3 linked regions of the Oryzias latipes genome follow. The protein of the gene in region 3 purifies or fractionates together with the protein of the main gene of each other region. This does not show direct contact. Links are inferred from orthologs where the notes say so. Each region holds a gene or a part of one and is shown on either strand. Other genes may lie near its edges. The genes, in order: tdp1, aptx and lig3.

The links.
Region 1: the proteins of lig3 (region 3) and tdp1 purify together in Homo sapiens (affinity purification with mass spectrometry; 4 studies listed by BioGRID and IntAct, with this or other methods). This does not show direct contact. The link is inferred for Oryzias latipes from reciprocal best matches to the Homo sapiens genes LIG3 and TDP1.
Region 2: the proteins of lig3 (region 3) and aptx purify together in Homo sapiens (affinity purification with mass spectrometry; 3 studies listed by BioGRID and IntAct, with this or other methods). This does not show direct contact. The link is inferred for Oryzias latipes from reciprocal best matches to the Homo sapiens genes LIG3 and APTX.

The regions. Positions count from the first base shown.
Region 1 is NC_019861.2:31,360,476-31,368,075, forward strand, and holds part of tdp1 (tyrosyl-DNA phosphodiesterase 1), read left to right. Parts: coding exon 1-56; intron 57-215; coding exon 216-312; intron 313-1,280; coding exon 1,281-1,315; intron 1,316-1,808; coding exon 1,809-1,901; intron 1,902-2,176; coding exon 2,177-2,347; intron 2,348-2,462; coding exon 2,463-2,541; intron 2,542-3,190; coding exon 3,191-3,367; intron 3,368-3,653; coding exon 3,654-3,702; intron 3,703-4,033; coding exon 4,034-4,100; intron 4,101-5,286; coding exon 5,287-5,394; intron 5,395-5,754; coding exon 5,755-5,857; intron 5,858-6,520; coding exon 6,521-6,626; intron 6,627-7,168; coding exon 7,169-7,242; 3' UTR 7,243-7,600. UniProt on the Homo sapiens protein: DNA repair enzyme that can remove a variety of covalent adducts from DNA through hydrolysis of a 3'-phosphodiester bond, giving rise to DNA with a free 3' phosphate.
Region 2 is NC_019859.2:15,247,156-15,255,313, reverse strand, and holds aptx (aprataxin), read left to right. Parts: upstream 1-2,500; 5' UTR 2,501-2,600; coding exon 2,601-2,730; intron 2,731-2,947; coding exon 2,948-2,994; intron 2,995-3,114; coding exon 3,115-3,393; intron 3,394-3,518; coding exon 3,519-3,578; intron 3,579-3,680; coding exon 3,681-3,907; intron 3,908-4,769; coding exon 4,770-4,873; intron 4,874-4,945; coding exon 4,946-5,100; 3' UTR 5,101-5,504; downstream 5,505-8,158. Other genes in the region: dnaJ homolog subfamily A member 1, read right to left, coding at 111-215, 483-675, 747-878. UniProt on the Homo sapiens protein: DNA-binding protein involved in single-strand DNA break repair, double-strand DNA break repair and base excision repair.
Region 3 is NC_019872.2:27,676,188-27,683,859, reverse strand, and holds the end of lig3 (DNA ligase 3), read right to left. Parts: coding exon 7,522-7,672; intron 7,311-7,521; coding exon 7,233-7,310; intron 7,160-7,232; coding exon 6,991-7,159; intron 6,496-6,990; coding exon 6,340-6,495; intron 4,837-6,339; coding exon 4,705-4,836; intron 4,632-4,704; coding exon 4,552-4,631; intron 3,663-4,551; coding exon 3,575-3,662; intron 3,502-3,574; coding exon 3,424-3,501; intron 3,355-3,423; coding exon 3,231-3,354; intron 2,621-3,230; coding exon 2,478-2,620; intron 2,403-2,477; coding exon 2,328-2,402; intron 2,242-2,327; coding exon 2,095-2,241; intron 1,916-2,094; coding exon 1,765-1,915; intron 1,660-1,764; coding exon 1,580-1,659; intron 1,166-1,579; coding exon 1,079-1,165; intron 957-1,078; exon of another isoform or gene 548-956; coding exon 314-547; 3' UTR 118-313; downstream 1-117. UniProt on the Homo sapiens protein: Isoform 3 functions as a heterodimer with DNA-repair protein XRCC1 in the nucleus and can correct defective DNA strand-break repair and sister chromatid exchange following treatment with ionizing radiation and alkylating agents.

The sequences.
Region 1 (7,600 bases), on a different chromosome or scaffold from region 3:
TTTAACTACTGCTTTGACATTCCATGGATGGTTCAGCAATACCCACCGGAGTTTCGGTAAGTCTCACATCCACATTTTCATGACTCCAGTTGCTCTGCTGTTTCACAGCACTTCAGCTTCATGTCAAACAAAAGCAGGTTTTACTTGAGTGTAAGTAATCCAATAAAACACACGGGTAACTGTTGTTTGGTTTAAAGCTCAGTTTGTGTTTTCAGAGATCGTCCGGTTCTGATCGTACATGGAGATAAGAGGGAGGCGAAAGCACGGCTTCTCCAGCAGGCTCAAGCCTTTCCTCATGTTCGCTTCTGTCAGGTACGGGAAGCATTGACGCACAAAGCTGTTCTTTAACCCAAGGGCTGTCTCCAACTTCGAGGGCTGCATCCTCCAATGGCCGCGGCCTTCCCGGGCGATGTTGGCCGGGTCCTTCGTCGAGCGGGTGGGCCGGATGTTAACGGCTGTAAATTTGGACGAGTCTAGCCTCTGGATAATTCCAGCCGTTACATCAGCAAGTGTCCTGTCGCCTAGCAACCGTTAGTCACAAACAGGGAGGAGTAGTGAACCAGGCGTGGAGGTCAAAATTTTTCCTGGCTTATTTGATTCAACTTTTAATCTTGGAGGTGTAATTATGAAAAGGTTTCCAACTCCGGCTCCCTCTTCAAAGTCCGCCATTGTTGTCAGAAAATCTCCAGGTTCAGCCGCAATACCTCTTGGGATATGCACAGCATAAAAGGATACACCAGACCGATCCTAGAAATCGTTAAAAAAGAAGGCCGTATTTGTTGGCCGCATTTGAAGGAGTCGTTGAATTTGGATAGCACTTGTCGCGCCGCCGTGACGACGCCGACAAATGCAGGACGAATGCAGACCTCCAGTTTGGACACAGCCCAAATGGTTAGTTTCATTCCCCAACAGACCAGTTTCAGTACTTGTTCAATTCAGTAATAGTTTGAGGAAAACTGTTCCTACAGCAGAACCGCTGATTTTATTCCTCTTCTGTTTAAGATTCAATTATTATGATTTGAGTTGCTGTTTCTAAACAGGAAGTGGAATTCACATTTGACGCTCTTAAAATTTAAATGTATAATGTTTTCAGCTGCAGCTATAAAAACCCTTAAAATTATATAAATATTTATATTCTTTTTATAAGTTTGCATGTTTTGATCCGGTTATACCTACGTTGACTGATTAAAATGTGGTTTTAAGAGCTAATCAAATGGAATCTGTATTTCCTAAATGACTGCAGCAGATAATGTTTGTTCCATTAAATTCTTTGTCGACAGGCCAAACTGGACATCGCTTTTGGAACTCACCACACGTAAGTAAACCTCTGTTTTATTGACTTACATACTGTGTTAGTGTGTTTCTTATGGAGTTTTCTTTAAAATGTGCTTTAATAATCCAAATAAAATAGGCTTTAACATGCAACATTTTCTATCTGCATGACTTCTTGAGTGTTTTTTTAAACCAGGGCTGAAGGATTTATTCAAATGACAAAATATTATCATATAACTTAATAAAACAATATACAGAAGTGCTATAATTTTAACTTTTCCTGATTACTTCATTAATTTTCTTGTTTCAAAAACAGAAAATAAGAGGTTTTTTTTTTGTTCTAAAGAAAAAACATATTCTGTTGATGGTCATCGGTTTTTTCTTGCATTTTTCCATTACAGCGTACTTTAACTATTATAGAAAAAAATTAATCATATTCCATTTTAGATCTTTAACAGCTGTGGGTGATTGTCAGAATTGTTTTAGTTCATAATGAGTTAGAATTAGATGTATCTCAATGTTGCTTGTCTGTGCAGGAAGATGATGTTGTTGTGGTACGAAGAAGGCTTCAGAGTCATCATCCTCACATCAAACCTTATCAGAGCCGACTGGTATCAAAAGACACAGGGGTGGGTCTCTATTCTATATTTAGTTACTTGTGGCTCTTAAGTTCCACACCATCTGATGAAGATTACCATTACGATATTTTCTATGCAGAGAAGTTCAATTAGTGATTGAAGCTGAAGCAGCTGTTGCTTTATTGTTCTCTACGTTTTCTGCCTCCGGTGATGCTGCAATATTTCATCTCCTGTGGACTGAATAATGGCTGAAGAGGGACTGAATGCAAGCTTGATTAAACATGATTATGTTGGAAACTGCTTCTAAAACACGTCCTCCGTGCTAGGATGTGGATGAGTCCTCTGTTTCCAAGGCTACCAGCGGGCAGCGGTTGGAGTGCAGGCGAGTCGCCCACCTTTTTCAAAAGGGACCTCCTGGACTACCTGACTTCATACCGGGCCCCAGAACTGGAGGAGTGGATCCAGCGCATCAAAGAGCACGACCTGTCAGAGACGAGGTGGACACACACACGCACACACACACACACACCCACACACACACACACACACACACACACAGTCATACCAAATACAGCAGGATCATAGCCGGATCTCATCGGACTCTTTTGTCAGGGTGTATTTGGTCGGCTCCACTCCAGGGAGGTTTGTGGGTCCAGACATGGAGCGCTGGGGACATCTAAGGCTGAGGAAGGTCCTCCACTTTATTCCTTTATCTTTTGATTGTTTACTTTATTTGTGAGTTTTGACAGATCTTCAATAAAACAGACCTAAGGAAACTTTGGGAAACTGGAAAGTTTTATTTGACTCAACATTCGACATATAATTGAAACAAATGGATCTTGAGAGGTGTAATACTGGTCTGACTTTAAGATGATTATGGTGTAGAAGTAAGGATAGCTGGACAGTTGTAGTGCTTAGAATATGATATTTTTAAGGAAAAGGATTTTGAAACTCGTTCCTGAGCAACATGCCTTTATTTATTTATTATTTATTTATTTAAGACATATTAAGAAAATACCACCTAAATATGGTAAGACATCACAACTTATTTTAAGGAATCTCACCTAGACAAATTCTAGTTCTATTGGCAGATATTTTCTTTTTTTTTCACTTTTTATTAACAAAGGAAAAACATCTTGTATTCTATACTTTTAACTTGAAGGACATTTTTTCCAGTGTATAGCAAAGTTCGCTGATGTGTCTGAAAAACGTTTATTTATTCTAATTTAATCAAAATGATCAGACCTGTGCCATCATTTTTAACGTAGCAGCAGAATCCTTTGCTTTTCTGAGTTTCAATTTCCTTTTTTATGTTTTTTTTTTTTACCTTTCTTTGTTAGCTGTTGTACGAGCACACAAATCCGATTCCCGGCGAGGAAAAGTGGCCCGTGATCGGTCAGTTTTCCAGCATCGGCTCGATGGGACTGGATAAAACCAAGTGGTTAGCGGGGGAGTTCCAGCGCACAATGACAACTTTAGGGAAATCCTCCTCACGCCCTGACCCTCCTGTGCTGTTGGTATGTTCTGCGGTCTACCCCACATGTTCTGTTTAAGGACAAAGCAAAAGTGAACATTTTTATGTGTCAGAAGGGTAATAAAGACTAAGATGGATTCTTGTTTGTGAATAAATGCTATATCTAAACAGTTCTTATTAAAAAAAAGACATGTTAACTGACTCCATGACTGCTTAGAGCCTTCAAGTTGTGTGTCATGATGTCAGGAGCGTATCCATAGTTTTTATGGTCTGTCAGAAAGCTTTGACGCCTGACCTAAGAGAAGTACTGATGGGCCTCTCCTTCACAGCTCTATCCAGCTGTGGAAGATGTGAGAATGAGTCTGGAAGGATATCCAGGTGAGAGCTTCCGTCATTTCAACTGAACCTTTAACTTAACATTGAACCTCAAAACCACAGCAGTTCATTGTTGTGTAAGTACGACAGAAAGAAAAAAAAAGTAATATTACAAGATTTAAAGGCGTAAATATACGACTTTTTTCTCGTAAATTTACGAGATTGAAGTGGAAGTTAGCATACGTGCAGTGAGTGAACACTGCACAGCAGCAGAGCAGACAGACTAAATTTGAACAGGTCAAATTTAAAAGAATTTTTGTTTTTTTTGTTAACTGGCTCTAAAACCGTGTTATGTAAGTTTATCTGTTTGGTTTGTTTTTTTTTTTCTCTCCAGCTGGAGGCTCTCTTCCTTACAGCATCCAGACGGCTCAGAAACAGCTCTGGCTTCACGGCTACTTCCAGTAAGTTCCCATGCACCGATCAAATTCAACCACTTCCTTTAATACGTGTTAATGTATTAACATTTCAACACTTAAGCAATGAAGAGACAACTTTTTTAAATCTTGCAAATAATTTTAAAAGTTAATAGCAATTATGTGACATTTTAAGTTAGAGAAACCCCTTAAAACAGATATTTTTAAATAAAATAGGAGAGTTTTAACGTTCTGCAAACAAAGCCTTATTTGTTCCTGTAGGAACTGCAATGAAGTAAAAAAGCTTTCATCAATTTTCTTTTTAGATTCGTGCTTTTTATAACTCTCCATTCAGTGAGGCTCGGTTTAGCCAATTTTATGTGCAAATCACCTGCTAGTTAATTCTTATATTCTATGTTTCAGAGTCAACATTAGAGTGATATGTGATGTAAAGTCTGAGAGACAGTTTCTCTAAGAACGAAAATGCAGAGAAGCAGGGAAACGTTTCTATGCACAGACTGATTTTGATGTTGATTTCTAAAATGGTTATTTTTTACTTCATATTTTAAGTAATTAATCTTTTTCATGTCCATTATTAATACCTAAGGATTCTTAATTCTGTCTGATATAGTTAGGAACTGGATAATGACAAATCATGTAATAAAATGGTTACCTGCATTTCAAGCAGTATTTAATTTTATGTCTAATTATCCCAAATTTGATACGTCATTGTATGAATGTATAACTGATGATTGTAATGTTGTTGCGTACTATTCTTGTTTGATTGCTTGAAATAAACCATTTCAAATTTAAAAATCAAATCAAGACTTTGCAGGCTGCAATCCACAGATTTAAAAACGGCCTTCAACCAAACTGCATTACTACAGCTATTGAGTAAGTGGTTTATTTCAAATCCTTTCAAAAAACAAGAGAAAAAAATAAAAGAAAATAAAAAATACATAGATATATTAAATTTATTTAAGATTTTAATTCATAAATTGATTAGAAAATAAATGATACTTTCTCTACATTAGATTTGCTTCTAATTATAGACATATTTGCACATATGACACTGAAATATATAAGGATTGTCAAACAAAGTTTGATACATTTTTCGAAAGCGAGTCGGAAGAAGCAAAGTTATATAACCCAACCCCTTTTACGTTTTGCTAAACCTTTTTTCTTTTTTAAATAGACATGTTTTCTTACTGCCTGTGAACGTTTGTGTGTTTAGTCGCTGGAAGGCGAATGCAACAGGGAGAAGTCACGCCATGCCTCACATCAAGACATACATGAGGGTTTCTCCAGATTTCACAGAGCTCGCCTGGTTCCTCGTCACGAGGTGCCTTCTCAGTGCTTTTTTGATGCTTTCACTACGTGCTCTTTAAGAGGCTCTGGAAGAATCTGAGATGTAACATGTCATGAAGGAGGCCTTAAGTTTCCTTTAGAATGCACTTTTATTAGTATTAATTGATTGTGGGATCAATGCTTGTTTGGGGTAATTGGAGGGAGTGGGGTGGGTAAAGGGTGGACAGGGTTTTCTCTCTTTTTTATTGATTTATTTATGTATTGCCCGATTCTATTTTTAATTGTAAAACGCTTCAAGTTGCGCAAGTATGAGAAGCACTTTTTTTGTAAATATAGTTTCATTTGTTGGTTGGTTGATTGATTGATGATGTAACTGGTCTCTGTATGGTGCCAGTGCAAACCTTTCCAAAGCAGCGTGGGGTGCCTTGGAGAAGAACAACTCCCAGGTGATGGTGCGTTCGTATGAGCTGGGAGTCCTCTATGTGCCATCAGCCTTTGTAAGTTCAGCCCACGATACTTAAAGATCCACTTCAGCCATCTTTTGGTCTATTGTAGAAGCCTTCCCAGTGGTCTTTGAATTCTGATTGTGCTTTTTTTTAAGCCTAACTGCAAAAAAAAAAAAAAGTGTTATTTTCGAGGACATAGTTTCTGCAAAGCGGAAGTAGTTCATTAGAAATGTACCTTTAAGTTATGGGTGGGACAGTTGGTGAAGAACAATTCTGTCCTTATTCCCCTCCTGAGAGCTCTCTGTTTACAAGCTCTTCTGCTAGCTTACAGTCCCCTCACAACCCCAACCTAGCATTAGCGGTGCGACAAAATGGCGAGGGTTATAAAAGCTATCGCTAGACGAAGAAAAAAAAGACGTACGTGGATCTATTTATCTACAAGTGGATGCATCAGAATGGAGCGGAGCCGGGAACTTGTGGCCCGCCCAGCATATTCTCACAAATACAATCTTTTTCAAACCGCATTTTATTGTCTGCTCCTGATTCACAACGATTTGAATAAAGAAAAAAACGCTCCTTACACATGTCCTCCATCATGAGAGAAACACCACAGGAACGTGTGGGTCCTAAAAACTCCAGTACTTCAGCATGTATGCCTGCATTGACAAAAACAGTTGAAACCAAATGTCACTGTTGTTTTTGTTTTTTTGGCAGAACTTGAAGACATTCCCCGTTGATAAGAGTGCATTCCCAGTCTCCTCGTCCTCGTCTGGGTTCCTCGTGCCTTTCGACCTCCCACCTACACCTTATGCTGCTAAAGGTGCGGCCATTTTGTTTGAAGTCTACTCGCAGTTTTGCGTCATCAAACTAGTGTTTTATTCCACATATGTCAACCCAGCTGAGCTTGACAACTTTCTTCCCACAAATATAAATGTAATATTTTCCACTGCAAAAAACAAACAAACAAAAACCATTAAAAAAATCTATTATTAGGTTATTCCTGTATAATCTAATCTAATCACATGCAGTACCATCTTATGTTGAAATATTTGTTACTTTTATGTAGAAATATGAAGCAAAAATGATCAGTGCCTTTAAGGAAAAGCTTAATTTTTTAGCTTCTTTTTTTTAAATCTGCATATTTTTACAGATCATTACTGATACAAATCATCTCTACTGCATGAAAGGTTTACCAATCCCTTCATTTTAAAAAGTTTTCTTTTTAAATAAAGAAAAAAATGTTAAAATTTTAAATAAATGAATCCGTTGAGGAGACACATTTTTAAAAAATCTGATCATTGTGTCACAACATTTTCAGCTGTGTCTGAGAGTTCTTTTAAATAAACAATAATACATTTTCAGATCAACCATGGATCTGGAATATTCCATACAGCCAGGAGCCCGACACCCACGGCAACATCTGGATTCCCTCCTGAATGTGTCCATCACTGAACTGTACTGTGTGTAGCTGCTTGTTCAAAAATCCTGTTTTTTTTTTGTTTGTTTTTTACTTTAGTGTAGTCTCACATTTTCTAAATAAAAAATAAAAAGGCAATACCATGTTAATGTTGAAAATGTTTTTATTTCTCCGTGACGTTTTTATTATTTAAAAGTGTCAACGAGCGCGTATCAAACTCCACTCCAGTGTTGAATTTGTAGCATTTAACCAAATAAATAAGTTAGAGTTAAATAGCAACCTAAAGAAAAAGTGTATGACTTTAATAAAACGTAATGTATGTGTGTTTATTTTCGGGAGGTAAACAGATCCCAGAAGAGTGAATTACACTTTCCATT
Region 2 (8,158 bases), on a different chromosome or scaffold from region 3:
CATTTGATTTTGAAAGTACTAAACCCATCTATTTATTTCTGCAGAAACGTAGAAGTAGTGTCTTTGCGGCACAGAAGATTCTCAAAAAAACTGAGCGGCGAAAGACTTACCCTCACACCTCTCACATATACAGTTCTTCTGCACGGCTAGTTTTCTCGTTGCTCCGTTATAAAGTTCCTCTAAAGATACAGTGATCTGGTGCACCATATTCTTTCCTGTGAATGAACAAAAAGACAACTTTTTTTCAAGAATCATACAATATTATGATTAACATCTATAGAAACATAACTAAAAATACTGTTAGTGATGTTTAAATCCTACACGACGACACTTTAACTCATTCAGAGCATAAAAAATACATTTGCTTGTCAGTGTTGGACTTGGTACAGTCCGGACCGGGGGAACATACAGAGGAACCATAAACTATATACTTCAAAACAAAACCCAGAGTGTGTTTGTTGTATTCTCATTATTTATTTTACCTTTTCGCTCTCTTTGCATCCGACTACCTCCACCAAAGAAAAAGTCAAAGATGTCCATGGGTGATGCAAAGCCACCGCCACCGCCGCCGCCACCAGTTCCCCCTTCCTTTAATGCCTTTTCGCCTCCCCTGTCATAGATTTCTCTCTTCTGGGGGTCTGACAGCACTTCATACGCCTGTGAGATCTGCTTGAACTTTAAAGACAAATCGTTTAAGAAAAGAAAAGAAAAACAAGGACGTTTGTGGCAGCTGCGTTATGTGGTACCTTCTCTCCTTCTGTAGGATTTTTGTCAGGGTGATATTTCAGGGCGAGCTTGCGATAGGCCTTTTTCAGCTCGTCAAGTGTTGCGTTAGCCTGAACGCCCAAAGTGTCATAAAATCCCATTTCCTTGACCATGATAGGTTTTTATAGGCCAGTCCTAAAGAAAAAACAATAACAGTGTGTTAACACACACACACTAAACAAATCTGATCCTCATCTGGTTAATCTGATGGTCCTTATCTGTTAATGACAGTTAACAAAATTGGGAACTTTAACAAACACCTAAATAAGAAAAACAAAATAAATAGCAGTTACTGCAAGAGTGAAAGGGAAAAAAAGAAGGGATGAAGCTTACAGCAGAAAAGCCAACTTTTTCTCAGAAATGATAAACAAAGGTGAATGAGGTCCAATTTTCTTACTTGTGTGTTGCCCAATTCTAAGATTGACTAAAATGTGACCAATAAGCAACCAGACGCTGAAAAAAGCAACAACAGAAAGAGTCTTAAGTCTTTACTTGCTAACAAAGCAATCTGATTATGTACTAAAATATTTAAACAACGTCAGATCTGAGCATTGCTGTTTAAAAAAACATTTTTTCAGGCATGTAAATGAGCATGATGGGAGTTTTTGGCTTAGAAATTTTCTGTTGTTTTGTGTGAGAAAACAGAGACGGTAGCTGTGTGTGTTAGGACAGATTGTTCTAATAGAAAAAAACAAATAAACAATGCTGAGACTTTTTGTTCCTCAGGTCAGTTTTACCCGAGAAGCTCTAGCAGCAAACGGGTTATTTGCTAGAGTCTGTTCATTTGGTCAATATCATAGCTGAAAGCTTCTAGGGATTTAGAAAAACACCGAAAATATAATGCAGTCCGACAGGCTCATCATGTCGACTAACATTGGTGTTCTGCTTACTACTGTTCCATTATCTGTGGATAAAGTTAGATTTCTCTGCGTAGAGGGGCACAATGATTCGGCCTTTGTAGCTAATTTAGCTACTCATGTCGTAGCTATGTATGTCATCAACATGGTGGCTTTTTTGCCAATTTTTTTAGCCAACAAATCACGTGTGGGCTGTTGTTAATAACATGTTTCGAGAATTAGTGGTTTTCCAACCTTAAACGAAGACCACGCTTAGCACCCTCACAAGACTGCAGCTCACAACGGCTCTTCCAGAATCTTCCTGCAGCCCTCTTTCTGCCGACTGCTGGTGTGGTGTCGAGTTTTGTCTGCGCGCAGCGCAGACATCTACGTCCACCTCGCGGGAACGCGCGTCGACAGCTAAACCCGACTGTTGGTACTTGTGACCGCACCATGTCGAGTTATGTTCTTTCTCCCAAAAGATATCAATATTAACATGACTGAAACCCACAAATTTAAACCTAAATGAAAAAAAGAACGAATCTAACTTCAGCACAATCACGTTTCAGAAAGTCAGTCATAATAAAAGTTTTAGATACAAAAAAGTGATATTTTAAATATTATTTAAAAAGAGCCAAGCCTTGTTGAATTTTCTGAAACTGCTATGATTTAATGTCCATTCATTGACAAACCAACCAACCAAGAAGAAGAAAAAAGACCAAAAAATTAAAAAGCAACAACTAAAAAATAAAAAAAAATAAAAAGTTGTTTTACAAGATATCATTTTTATACAAGAAAACACGTTTTTATGTCGTTCACAATTTTGCTGTTGTTGCGCGCTCTCGCAAAGTGAAGAACTCTGGGAGGAGACAGAACTTCCCACCCCACCTTGTTCCTCGGTCGCACCCTCGTTCGTCATCACTCCGCGACAAGTTGAACAAACATTCAAACGTGTCCCGCTGCTAAATATTAGGGAGAAAAGCGTAACGAAATGAGAAAATGCCCATTTGCTGGCTCATTAGTGAAGAGGGGAATCACAAACCCATTCACCTGCCTCATTTACAGACAGTTGTCGTGGGTCGAGGCCCAGAAACTACTATCAAAGACAAAAAATGCTCCCGGCATCAAGGTAACGATGTTACCTACAAAAACAGTCTCTAGATTTCCTGTGAGTTCAGTAAGAATGTTAGGAAAATAATCTGTTATTGTTTTAGTGATTTCAGGGATAATACATTTAAGAAAACAGCAGGAATTGAATGACTTGAGCATCAAGTTATTTTCATTCATGTTTGTAAAACGAAATGCAAAGTTTTAACCTGTCTAAATGTTCCTGACTTTCCCATCAGTTGAACTGAAAGCTGAATGCAACAAAGGTTATGTCAAAGTGAAGCAGGTAACATGCTCACAAGAATGATCAGTGGTATAAACAAAATAAAAAGCCTTATTGCTGTACATTTTGTATTATTTTTATTGTTCTATTTTTTTTACCTGTTTTTTTTCTCCCCTCCCTAAGCTGGGGTTAAACCCCACCTCTGTCGGCTCCTTGGTGGTGGGTAAAGGCAATGAGGTCAAAATGAAGCCTGGAGAGCAGCTGCTCGTGGTCAACAGCCTTTATCCATACACCGTGCAGTTCAAAGAGGACACCACCGGGAGCCAGGGCGCCACCAAAAGACCACCAGAGCCAGTCAAAGAGAATGGAGGAAGCCAAAGAGAGACAGACTGCCTGAAAGCTGGACAACTCACAGAAAAAGTCGCTGCAGCTGTCATTCCAGGAGAAGCCACAAAAACTAGTGTGAGGAGAAACAAAGAAATCTACAATCTGTGATTTATGCCTAATATACAAATTATTGTTGCAGACCTGGAGAGTTTTTATTTAAATATTCATTCTCATAATTCATGTTAACTGACATTTTGTAGGGAATTTCTGGGCATTGGAGTCAAGGCTTGAAAACTTCAATGCAAGACCCCAAAATGCAGGTAGCTATAACTCAACATTACTTACTGATAAACGTACGTCTAAATTGAAACTAAATTTAGGTTTTGTTTCTGTTTTAATTGATCTTTTTTTTTTTTTTTTAGATATACAAGGACGATACAGTTGTAGTGATCAAAGACAAGTATCCCAAAGCTCGTTACCACTGGCTGGTTCTTCCATGGCAGTCGATTCCCAGCCTGAAGGCTTTGAAGGCAGAACACTGCGATCTGCTGAAACACATGCAGAAGGTGGCTGAGCGCATGATTAAGCAATGTCCAGAATCCAGCTCACTTAGCTTCCGGACTGGTTATCACGCCATCCCAAGCATGAGGTAAGTCTTTATTATGTGTGTTTATTGGGCTGTTACTCCTTAAAGTACACCATCCATCCATTTTCTTAACCCGCTGTATCCCTTTCGGGGTTGCTGGAGCCTGTCCCAGCTACTGCTGAGGAAAAGCGGTTAACACCCTGTACAGGTTGCCAGTCTTTTGCAGGGCCACACAAACACATGCACACCTCGGGGCAATTTAGAGTCACCTAGTAAACCTATGATGCATGCTTTTGGAGGAAGGCCAGAGTGCCCTGGAGAAAACCCATCGGGAGAACGTTCAAACTCAGCAGAGAAAGGGCCCTGCTGGGAATCAAACCAGGGCCTTCTCAGTGTGGGGCGAGAGCGCTAACCACTACCCCACCGTCCAGCCTCAAATTTCCCCATACTGTTGAAAATTAATAAAGAATAATGAAGAGATGCAACAATTCACTTTCTGGTTTTTCAGGTCACAGTGTTGTTTCACTTTGATACATGTGTATAACAAAATAATAATAAAAAAAAAATTGGTTTTTATTTATTTATTATTATCTAGAAAGCAAGTAACAGTAAACAAAGCCCTTTAGTTTGCTTATAATGACCCTGGTGTAATGTGATAAAACTATATTAAATTTAGCACAATGCTCGTATTTGTTACTTTCAACATAAACATATGCAAACATATGCAGTAGGGATGCAACGATTCCCCTGAGAGCTTGTGCTGAAGCATCACTACCTGGATAAATAAAGGTATTACTGCTTTAAATGTGCTCATTGTGGGTTTGTTTTCAGAGCACAATAAATCATCAGAGTAGTGTTACACGAGGACATCTCGGCTGAATTTGACATTTTCCCACTAATGAACCGTTCTGTTTACACTCTTCAGTCACATCCACCTCCACGTGATCAGTCAAGACTTTGACTCTCCTTGTTTGAAGAACAAGAAGCATTGGAATTCCTTTACCACAGATTACTTCATAGATTCTGAAAGTAAGAGCAGACTTTATGTTATTGATTGATTTAGATGTGCTGTGTGTAAAATCAAGCGTTTTCTTTTTTTAGATGTCATTCAGATGCTTGAAAAGGATGGGAGCGTCTCTGTGAAGGATGGGACTAGTGAGCTGTTGAAATTGCCTCTCCAATGTCACGTGTGTCACAAAGAGTGTCCCACCATTCCTGCCCTGAAAGAGCACCTGAAGCACCACCTCTCTAAATAACCGTGGGACTTTTTTATTCTGGGCTGTTTTGCTCTAAGTTAGCTCATTTTCTAGAAAATTCAGAGCGGGAACATTATTTTTTCAGGGTTTCTGTCTGTTGGAGTTTGAAGTCAAAATACCCAGATATTCTTCAGAAATACTTGTTATCCATCACATGTCACAACATTCTTTAGAGTTGCCTAATAAAAAAACTCTACATGTTGCAATAATTGTTATCTAAATACGTAGTTCTCCTTTTTCCAAATTTAGCTTTTAAGCATTTTGACTTTATTGTTTGGTTAGTGTTGACTGTGAAGCATTTTTTATGGTTTTGTGTGAACAAACAACCGTTTTGAGTTTGAAAGACTTAAGTGATTTTCAGCAAATAATATATATTAGTGAATAAACTGTACTGAACCAAAAGACGTGTCAATGGAATAACTCTGTCACCATCTAGTGTTCAATCAGAAGAATTAAGTTATAAGGGTAAGAGAAGGTTTAAACCGTATGTATTTTGGTAACCCTTCAGTGGCGCCTCCAGAAATTTTTCATGGGGGTGGCCAGTGGGGGGCCACATTAAATCTTGGGGTGGCACACAAAAACCATGAGCTATATTTTTAAAATTCATTCTACCAAACGTAGTAAAACAACCTTTAGAAAACCAATAGAAAGATAAATGCCTACTGATATTTTGTAGAACATGAATTTATAGTAGATACTACTAGTATAATAACTAATAGATACTAGTAGATACCATTAGTAGATACTACTACTGATATATATATATATATTTTTTGTTTATATTCAATGCTTAGGTGTGTCTGCTTGGGCTGTTCGGCTCTTGACTGAGAGATATCTACAATAAACAAAAAATGAAATCTGTTGTTCTGAAATAATAATAAAAATATCCTTCTAATTATTAATTATATCTGTAGACATTTCTATTCAGACTTATAATCATGAAACATTTTTATTATTAGGGTAACATAATTCTAACTTCACCAGTTGGTCCAGGAACAGGTGGAGCCCCTGCTTATGCTGAGTTCTGCCTTGTTTCTCTGACCAATGATGCTGACTGTCCCTCCTCTGATGCCGTCTCATCTTTGTCTTCCTTATTCTCTTCTGTCATTCATGCTGCTCTGTCTCATCTTCCTCCTCCTCACTACTCCTCTGTTGCTCCCCTACCATCTCTTTCACTCCTTCTGCTGCACTTTTATTCTTAAAATAAGAATATATGTTGAATTTCTCTTCATTCTCTGAAAATGGACAGACACAAGCATCAACTAATGACTATAGGTAACTCTGTGGAAACAAAAACACATCAAAATGTTGCGGTAACACAACAACCAGTGCTTAAATAGTGCCATGAAAATGAGTGGCTTGTGACAGGGACATCCTTTTTTTACTTATTAATAAGAAGTAATGACACATCCACCGCCGCTGATGATGTGGCGTATTTGCACCAAGTATTTGCACACTGGGTTTACATGTTTTGCAGACCGCATGTTTTTTACACCTTTGCAGCTGTATTTATTTAATATTTAATATTTATTTCTTTATTTAATAAGAATCTAATTTTTGATAATAATTTTTCATAATAATTTTCTGTGATATTTTTAATTATTTAATATAAATGTCATTTGTGATGTCCTTTATTGATGTTATATTATATAGATTATTTCTGAATGTCGTGTTGCTGCCAAGATAAATGAAATTTCCCCATTGTGGGATTAATAAAGTCATCTATCTATCTATCTATCTATCTATCTATCTATCTATCTATCTATCTATCTATCTATCTATCTATCTATCTATCTATCTATCTATCTATCTATCTATCTATCTATCTATCTATCTATCTATCTATCTATCTATCTATCTATCTATCTATCTATCTATCTATCTTATCTATCTATCTATCTATCTATCTATCTATCTATCTATCTATCTATCTATCTATTATCTATCTATCTATCTATTATCTATCTATCTATCTATCTATCTATCTATCCAGATCTAAAGTACAGTAAACAGATTGTTAAAGACCCACGGAAAATATTTAACAGGAAAAGAAACGTAGCATTTTGGGATGTGTGATTGTGTTTGCGTGCGTGCGCTCTCGCGCGCACGCGTGTGTGTGCGTGCTGAAACCGGTGCTCGCGCGATGCAGGAAGAGAGGGGGGAGAGCGCGTGTGAGGGTGTGGAGCGCATACACGCGCGGTCAGTCGCCCGTTTTGGACTTAAGGAAACAGTAATAAAGAAAGTTCATCTTTAGTGACTGAGACTGGTTCTTTTGTCTGACCGGCCCAGAGGATCTGAGGGTTCGAACGCGGAAGTGAACCACGCGTCTTATTCATTCTGCGTCCAGCGGCTCCTCTGTAGATGTCTGCGCACTCAAAGGCAGCAGGGAGGGGAGGGGGTGAGGGCCGGTTTAGGTGATCAGAGCGACTTGCCCGCTTGCTGGCTGTGCATTTGGGATGAAACGCACAACTGATGCTACCACAGCTTATAGTGGCTACTGGGGTGGCCACTGGGGTGGCCAGGTGTCGGAGAGGGGTGGCCATGGCCACCCCTGGCCACCCCCTGGTGGCGCCACTGTAACCCTTGTGCTGTCCTGGGCACTTTTACAGTTTCTAGACCCACTAGTAGACAGTGCGCTGAACCTTTTTTCTTTAATGATTTGTGATCTTCACTGGTGTCCATGGATTACAGTATGAAATGTTTCCACCTTTATCATGGTATTGGGAGAACACGTCAATCTAAGGGTGGGGTCAGCTAAGATAGCACAAGGGCGAAAGCACAAGCGCGGTTCCAAGAAAGTTTTTGCTGTAAATAGTGGAACTGGTGTCTAAATGCTATTAACGAACTCGTTAAAAGGTTGATGGCCCGTACGGGGATCGAACCCGCGACCTTGGCGTTATTAGCACCACGCTCTAACCAACTGAGCTAACCGGCCACTTGACGGCGTTATAGTGAAAATACATAATAATACACATATGTGTATTGTCACGGTCACTTGTTTATTGAATTTGTGCAAAATTGCATAAATATCTTATAAAAATCAATTATTAACAACATT
Region 3 (7,672 bases):
GCTTCATGGCAGCACTTTTCTTGGGAACACGTTTGTATGTGGCGTTAACGTAAACTCTGTGAACGTTTTCCTTTTTTTGCCTAAAAGTGCTTAAAAAAAGAGACGAGGAGTCGCTTGTATCTGTGACAAAAACCAAGGATTTAATACAAGCTTTCAGTTCTAACTTTAAACTACAGAAGTCTGCTTTCATCTACATCTCGTGTTCAGTTCATGATTTTAGCGTTTGTAGTAGAAAAAAGAAAAAGTCCATCAGATCTGCTAATTCATCTGCAGAACCCGTTCCTGAGAGCCGAGGCTGATGGTTCCAACTCTCTCAGCAGGGGGGCACCACGCGCCTCTTCCGGATGCATTCCCAGATCCAGCTGGGCGACACCCTCTGAGCCCGGCTGTCCTCTCCGGGTGGGGCCAGCGTGTGCGTGGCGGAGGCGGCGTCGTAATCCGCCACCAGGTCTCCGTCGTACGCCACGAAGTACCTCCGGAGTCTGTCGGCGTCCTGGATGGAGGCGGGCAGGAAGAGCTTCACCCCACCAAAGATGTCCAGCAGCGTCTGCAGGGCGGCCAAACACAAACACGCGTCATGCCCCTCCCCCCCGGCGTACAGAACCGAAGAAGTAAGCTGTTCGCTGGAAGAAAATAACTTTTTGACAGACCTGTTTTTAATCTAGTCTTTCAGCTTCTAACTGGTTCTCTGGAGTAGAACTGGACCTTTGAGACGGTCCAGAACCAAAGTTTGAAGGCTGGATTTGATTAGGAGTTTCACCTCATTTAAACTTTAAATCAAACACAGTTGCCCGCTTTTTTATACATCGTTTAGACTTTACGGGTCGTCCAGACCCGCGAGGACAACAATGTCATGTTTGAAACTCTTCCTCATAAAAGGCTTGAGTCTGAATCAGAACATTAAAGAAGAATAAAGCCGGTTCTATTGTTCAGCTGCTCCAGAACCACAGACAACATTTACATTGTTCTCTGATTATTTCTACTTTCAACCCAAACGCTGGTCTGTCTGTAGACGCCCTCGTGAGGACCGCCGGTCAGTGCGAGTCCTGGGGGAGGACAGGGAGGGTTTTGGACCCACCTTGTCGTTCCTGGCCTCCAGGAGCTGGGGGGTCGCTCTGGGTTTACTTTGCTGCCCGTTGCTGTTGACATTTTCGCTTTTCTTCATCTGTTTGTGGAAAAACTAGTCAGTTTTACACGACTGCACTTCCTGGTTTGGACACTAGGCGGAGCTACTCATAGAAGAACTGGAGAGCAAAACGGTTATTTGAACTTTCCAGAGTTTATAATGGAACTGCTGACATTTCTTACTGAATAATTTCATGTTGTTGTGTTATAAATAAAGCAATAATGAACTGTAAACAATTTTACGTTGCTGTTGAATTAAAAAGGTGCATTCAGCTTAAACAATTGTAAAAGACGTTTAAAATCTTAGACTGTTTCTCCATGGAGACGTCTGCAGCTGTTTAGTGACTAAATGTCGTCGGATCAAACACTTTTTACTAAAGTCCGGCAGGATTTCCTCTTTTCTTAACGAACCTGACCCAGATCCCAAATATCAGTTCACGTCGGCCCTGCCCACCTTTTTGGCGCTGGAAGCTTCCGAGTTGGGAGTGCGGGGTTCCGACTTCTGGGCCTTTGCTTTCGTTGGTGTTCTGTTAGCTGTGAAATGTTAGCATCAGATTGACATTGAGGTTTTTTCTTTTCCTTTGATTTGGAGCCAGAACAGACGTTCTGAGGGAGACTCGACATCAGAGATGAACTTACCCGTCTTTTTGGGGGGAGCGCTCGTGTTGGAAGAGGGCGACGGCGAGCTCCCCGTGCTGTCCCCCCCTGACGACCCTTTGTTGTTGTCGGCGGTGGACGGGCCGGCCGTCACTTTGAAGTCGCAGTGCTCCTTGGAGATGCGGAACAGCTCCTGCGGGAGCGATGGACGCACGTTTAAACCCATGAACCTCTGCTCCTCCTCTTCATCATTTGTCACATGACCTCCCGTCTTCTCAGCGGGACATAATCAGCTGGACTGCACACCTCGCCGTCGGCCATCTCTGCCCAAACGTCTGTGTTTTAGGCCGCTGAGGAAACTGAAGGTCTCACCCTGAGCTGGTGCAGGTTGGTGGCGGTCTTCCAGTCTTTGTCGTCGCGAATACGCGTCATGCGCGGGAAGCGGATGGAGATGCCGTCGGCGGTGTGCATTTCCGATTTGGAGAACTCGGCACCGGTTATCTCCCAGACCGGCGCTTTCTGCGGGAGGGAAGCAGCACATGAGAGGCCCGCGAGCACTGCTGGCGCTTTCCTGCAGGATCCGGACGCCGAGCGGAACACCTCACCTCAGGGTCGCGGATAATGAAATCTGGATAATAGTTCTTGACGATTTTCAGCCAGCCGGGGATTTTGCTCGGCTCCTACAGAAGCAGAGGATGAACTCCTGACTGTTTGGAATTTTCCAGCTCCGCCTCTCTAAGTGGATCTTCTCTGACCTTGCTGATTTTAATCACATCCAGCTCCTTCTGGAGCCGGGCCAGCATGGCGTCATCGTATCCTCCGGAGCACTTGGTCACGGTGCACCATTTCTTTGAGTCTGGGTCGTAGCAGCCCATCAGAAAACTGGACATGATGCCCCCTGGTGGGAGGAAGAACAAGTACAACTTTAGAGCAGCGAGTGTTGCTTTGCTGACAATCTGAGTTTACTTTGGAGTTTTTTTTGGGTATGACCTTCTTCATGAGATTGCTACAAAGAAAATTGCTTTAAATTGTTTAAGGTTTCACTTTGATCATCTTTTGGTCTTTTTTTAAAGTGTTCCCAGTGGTCTTTTAATTATGATTATGCTATTTTTTTGTGCCAAAAATCAAAAAAGCTGTGTTGACATAGTTTCTGCAGAGTTCTGTTTCAGCTTGTGGCCCGTCCAGCATCGTTTTTTTTATCTGCTCCTGATTTACAATGATTTGAATAAACAAAAACTCAAACGTGCACTTTTAAGCTGATTTTCTTTACATATGTCCTCCATCAGAAAACTGCAACAAGAACACGTTAAAAAACCCATCAATAATTCCAACGTTTTTCAAAGTTTTGAAATGTTTTGTCATCCTGAAAGTATAAAAGGGGTGGAGTGACAGACCACATGACACGTGCTGCAGAATTAAAACCAAAGTTTAGAGAAAGGAAAAGCAGATACTTTCTTCTTTAGTCATTCATTTTGCAGAGTTGAATCTGTTCTCTGACCATCACCCACCGTTTGAGCCTTTCCCATAAAAGGCGCCGAGCACCACCAGGTCAGCCGTGTCCGCCATGGCGCCTTCGTTCAAGTAGTCTTTCTTCACTTTCAGCCAGTGGCGCTTCCCCGGCTCGTAGGTGCTCTGGAAACGCGAGAACCTTCAGCGGCGCTGCAAACATCAGCTTCCTGTGTGAAGCAGGACGCCGCTCACCTTGATGTCCTTGAGCACCAGGCCTTCCAGTCCTTCCCTGATGACCCGCGTTATCATGTCGGCCAGGTCTCCTGCTCTCTGACACACAAAGGCGTGGCAGGTCTTTAACGTGCAGCGACGACAGGAAGCCGCGCTCGGTGGAAACGCCTACCGTGACGTGTTTCATCTCTGAGAAGAGGATCCTGTTGGGAACTTCCACCATGTTGTCCGTCAGGAATTTCCTGCGCTCCTTCAGAGGCCTGAGAGAAACGACTCCTCTGGATTATTTACAAAGTCCACCAAGGAGGAGTCCAGCGTCACAGAATTTTAAAGAACTTCAAAACATTCATGAGAACATCACGGAACTTCATTCTCATGAAGAATATCTTTCTAACTTTACCCAACTGCTTTTCCTTCCTTCATCTTTCTGGGGTCCAGATGACCCAACGTTAACGTGCCTCCGAGGCACGTTAACGTTGGGTCATCTGGACCCCACAAGACAGCACACGGGATAAACTGGTGCCACATTCTGTTGCGTTTTATCCGTTCGAGATGAGCAGACTTACTTCTACCCGAGTATTCCTTTGAAATAATACGCCTTAAATATATAGCGCCGACCACAATATTGAGAGAAAATTGAATATCTGATTCCGACCGAGTTTGAAACTTTGTCATCAGGCCTGATTTCTGATCGGATCGGGACGTCCCAAAATCACACCTGCAAAAAAACCTTTTTGACCCCATGTGCTTCTCTTTATCTTTGATAAAACCAAACAGGCCGACGTCCTTCATTTTAGCCAAATATAAGGTTGTTTTTATTTTGAAAGACTAAAATCTGGGTAGGAAACAGACACAGAAAGTCTTAAACAAAGAGAGACAATTTGTTTGTTTTTTTTAGCTATTTTTCCTTGTGTCCATTAGATGGAAAAAACTGACAGTCGTGAACTATAAGGACTTTTCTGTAGCAGTTTGAGAGCCATAAACAGGAGAACCGAGGAAGACTAACTGAAAGAGAATGAAGTTAGGCGGCAAACCGTCAAAGACGCCTGCAGAGAAGCGTTTCGGGTTTGTGCAGAGCTGAATTAACGCCGTAGCTTTCATTGTTCCATCGGGGACGCAGGCGTCTGTGTGTGGAGGAGAAAGCCTTACCGCTCCATGAGGCTCACGCCATTGAAGTAGATGCAGTCGAAGACAAAAAGGCACACGTTGGCGTCTTGAAAGGCTGCTTTCTGAGGGGAGGAAAGGGTTTGAAGTGTGACAACAATGACTGGTCAGAGGGAAAATAAAAAAGTTCTTCCTCACCTTGTGTATCCCCAAAGTCCCAAAGGGCAGAGGTTTGCTGCTCTTTGTGTCAATTAGGAGGACCTCAGCATCCAGAATCATACTGTGTCCTCCAGGAAAAGCCTGAGGGATGTAGTCTTTGAAATGGGCCACCTGAAAACCACAAACGCACAGGGATCAGAATTTAAACAAGGACTCGACGCTGTGTGAATATTATACTGTGGTCCAGGCCAGTACTGGATTCTGATTGGCTGATTAGCAGAAATGAATGTCCCTGTCGTCCATTCATGCCTGCTCGTTCTCTGCCCTGCTCAGAAATACACGCGACTATAATTAGGGAGCTATTACAGTTCAGTTCAAAAAGCATCATCCCCCCCCCCCCCAACACCTACAAAATGATGCCACAAACGACACTATCTCAGCAAAAAAAAAATCTAACGTTTGTCATTTTTTGTAAAGGAAAGCAGGAAAAAGTTTGATTAAAATTGGAATTTGATTTTATTTTCAGACCATTTATTCTGTGCGGATGACGTGGCCTCCTACACAAATTTCCATCCGTTTTTATGCTCGGTCGCACGTAAATACAGGCGAATAACGTCAAGAAAACACGATTTCAATGTGGCAGCAATTCTGTTGGTGATATTTCCATAGCAACCATTTATTTTTAAGTCGCCTGGGAGTGACAAACAGGTTTGTGTCACTTTTGGAAGGATTTTCTGTTAACCTGAATATGCTCACGTCATCGTGCGTCATATTGTTTTGTTCAGCTCAGACCAACCACCATCTTCATTATATTCTGGTAGAAATGTGCGAGCAGCAGGGAAACGCCACTTTTGCGAGCTAACGCCGTTAAAATGCTGCAAAATTTTCCCGTTTTAGGGGAAGATTTAGGGGTCAAAATTTCCCACTTCGCCACCAAATGGCAGCCAAGCTGTAGGCCTATGGCCATCCCATAATAATTGAAGATCTTCCTTTGGAAATTCCAGACACGTGTGGATTTTGAAATATTTTTTGGCCCCATTCCCTTTTTTCCCCCACGATGCCCAAAATTCCTTTTCAGCAGGTGACAGGTGCGTGGATGCTATGGTGGGTTTTTGGCAGGTCGTGACCTTTTCTGAGGTTCTAAGAACAATCCGGTCCCTTGGCTGCAGCTGCTGCAGGTCAGAATTCTAAAATGACAAATTCTACGTTTGATGTCCTTTTCAAAACTTGTGGATTTCTCCGTCTGTGGGGGTGGGGGTGGGAGGTGGGGGGGCGTGAGCCCCGGGCTAAGAAAACAACGCTAGACGACTTTGGCCGCCCTTCTGCAGCCCCCCACACACCACGTAAACCCACCGTTAACACAAACTCCCTGATTGCAGAGGCCGGGGGCTGCAGAAGGGCGGCCAAAGAGGATCCTGAGACGGATCCACAATCAGCAGCTTGTTGCTATTTACTAAGGAAGCAGAGGATCCTCTGCTTCCTTAGTAAATAGCAACAAGCTGCTGATTGTGGATCCGGAAACAGAGCCGAGGATTTGCCGCTTTCAGAGCGGGCTGCAGCTACATCTAGTGGTTGTTTGGTTCCTGATGCCGACGGCGTCTTCGTTTATAGTTTGTGGGAAATGTGGGTCTTTTTTTCTGTCAGTTAGAAGTATCTTCCAACAGTGGGGCAGACCTTGTGCGGCAGCACGGGTTTGAGGCTGCGGCTGAAGTAGCTGAACGAGTCGCCGCTCTTGTGGACCTGCACGCGCTCGCCGTCGTACTTGATCTCGGCGTACATCCCGTTCGGACACTTTTTCATGGCCTGATCGATGGATTTGCACGCCTCGGCCTGCAATCAGAGAAGAAAAGCAGCACAGGTAAACCCATCGGGTTGGATGTACAGTGGTCCCCCGCTATATCGCACTTCACCCTCTGTGGTTTCTGGTTTTGTTCGTTTTTCAAACCGCTTTGTGTTCTGCAACCTGATTGGCTATAAACCTCGTCAATCAATCTCCTGTACAGAATGCGTTCAGTTTAGAAAAACTGCATGGCAAATTCCTACTTCACAGATCATTTTTAGAAGGTAACCCCTGCCATAAAAGAGGGACCACTAAAGGATTTTACCTGAACCTGTGAGGAGTAATCGGTTTAAAAACTGAAACAAAAAAAAACCTAAAAATGGGACGTTCTCTTGTTGTCATATTGAATTTTGTGTGTGAAAAAAAGTGAGGCAGGTACACCAGCAGAGAATTTTCTGAAACATTCCAGACTTGGAACGAGGAAAATCCGTCTTCTGCGACCCCCCAAGTACCACATGACCAGAACCGCCGGCGTGTGCGCTCACCAGCATGGGCTGCACGGGCGTCATGAGTGACGCCTCAACCGTCAGCAGCTTCCGGGGTCCCGACCCGTTGGACGCCTCTTGCTGGTTTCTCAGAACCCTCTGGATGACGTCGCCCAGGTTACGGGAGGCCTTGAAGGCGTCGTACGCGTTCGGATCTACGGCGTCCAAGCTGCACAAGGAGGCGCAGGTGAGAAGGAGCCGACTGCGGCGCGTTGACTGCGGCGCGGCGTGGACTGACTTACACGTGCTTCGCTCCGGCGTTCATTTTCAGGTCGTGCTTAATCAGTCTGATGATGCATTTCAGGTCGTTGCTGGTGCATCTGTGAAGACGAGAAGATCATCTGAGGTCATTTACTACAAAACCTTCAGGACAAAGGTTCTGATGAGACGGAGGAGGAACTTTGTGGAAGAAAAGAGTCCTCAAAGATAAATGAAGATCAGACATTCTGGTGGGAGGCCGGGATCCCTGATCTGGATCAGGACGTCCTTCAGCAGCAATGGCGTCTAACACCAAGCTGAGGAGACTTTTACTTTTTGGCGATGGCTTCCAGTTCGCTCTGCTGCTCGTCCTCCTTCGTCAGCTGAGCGAGGCGGGTCAAAGATTCATCCACTTCCTGAATGGTGAGCAGGCTCTTGGATGCAGGAGGAAACGATTTACTCTCTTCAAAGAACATCCGGACCG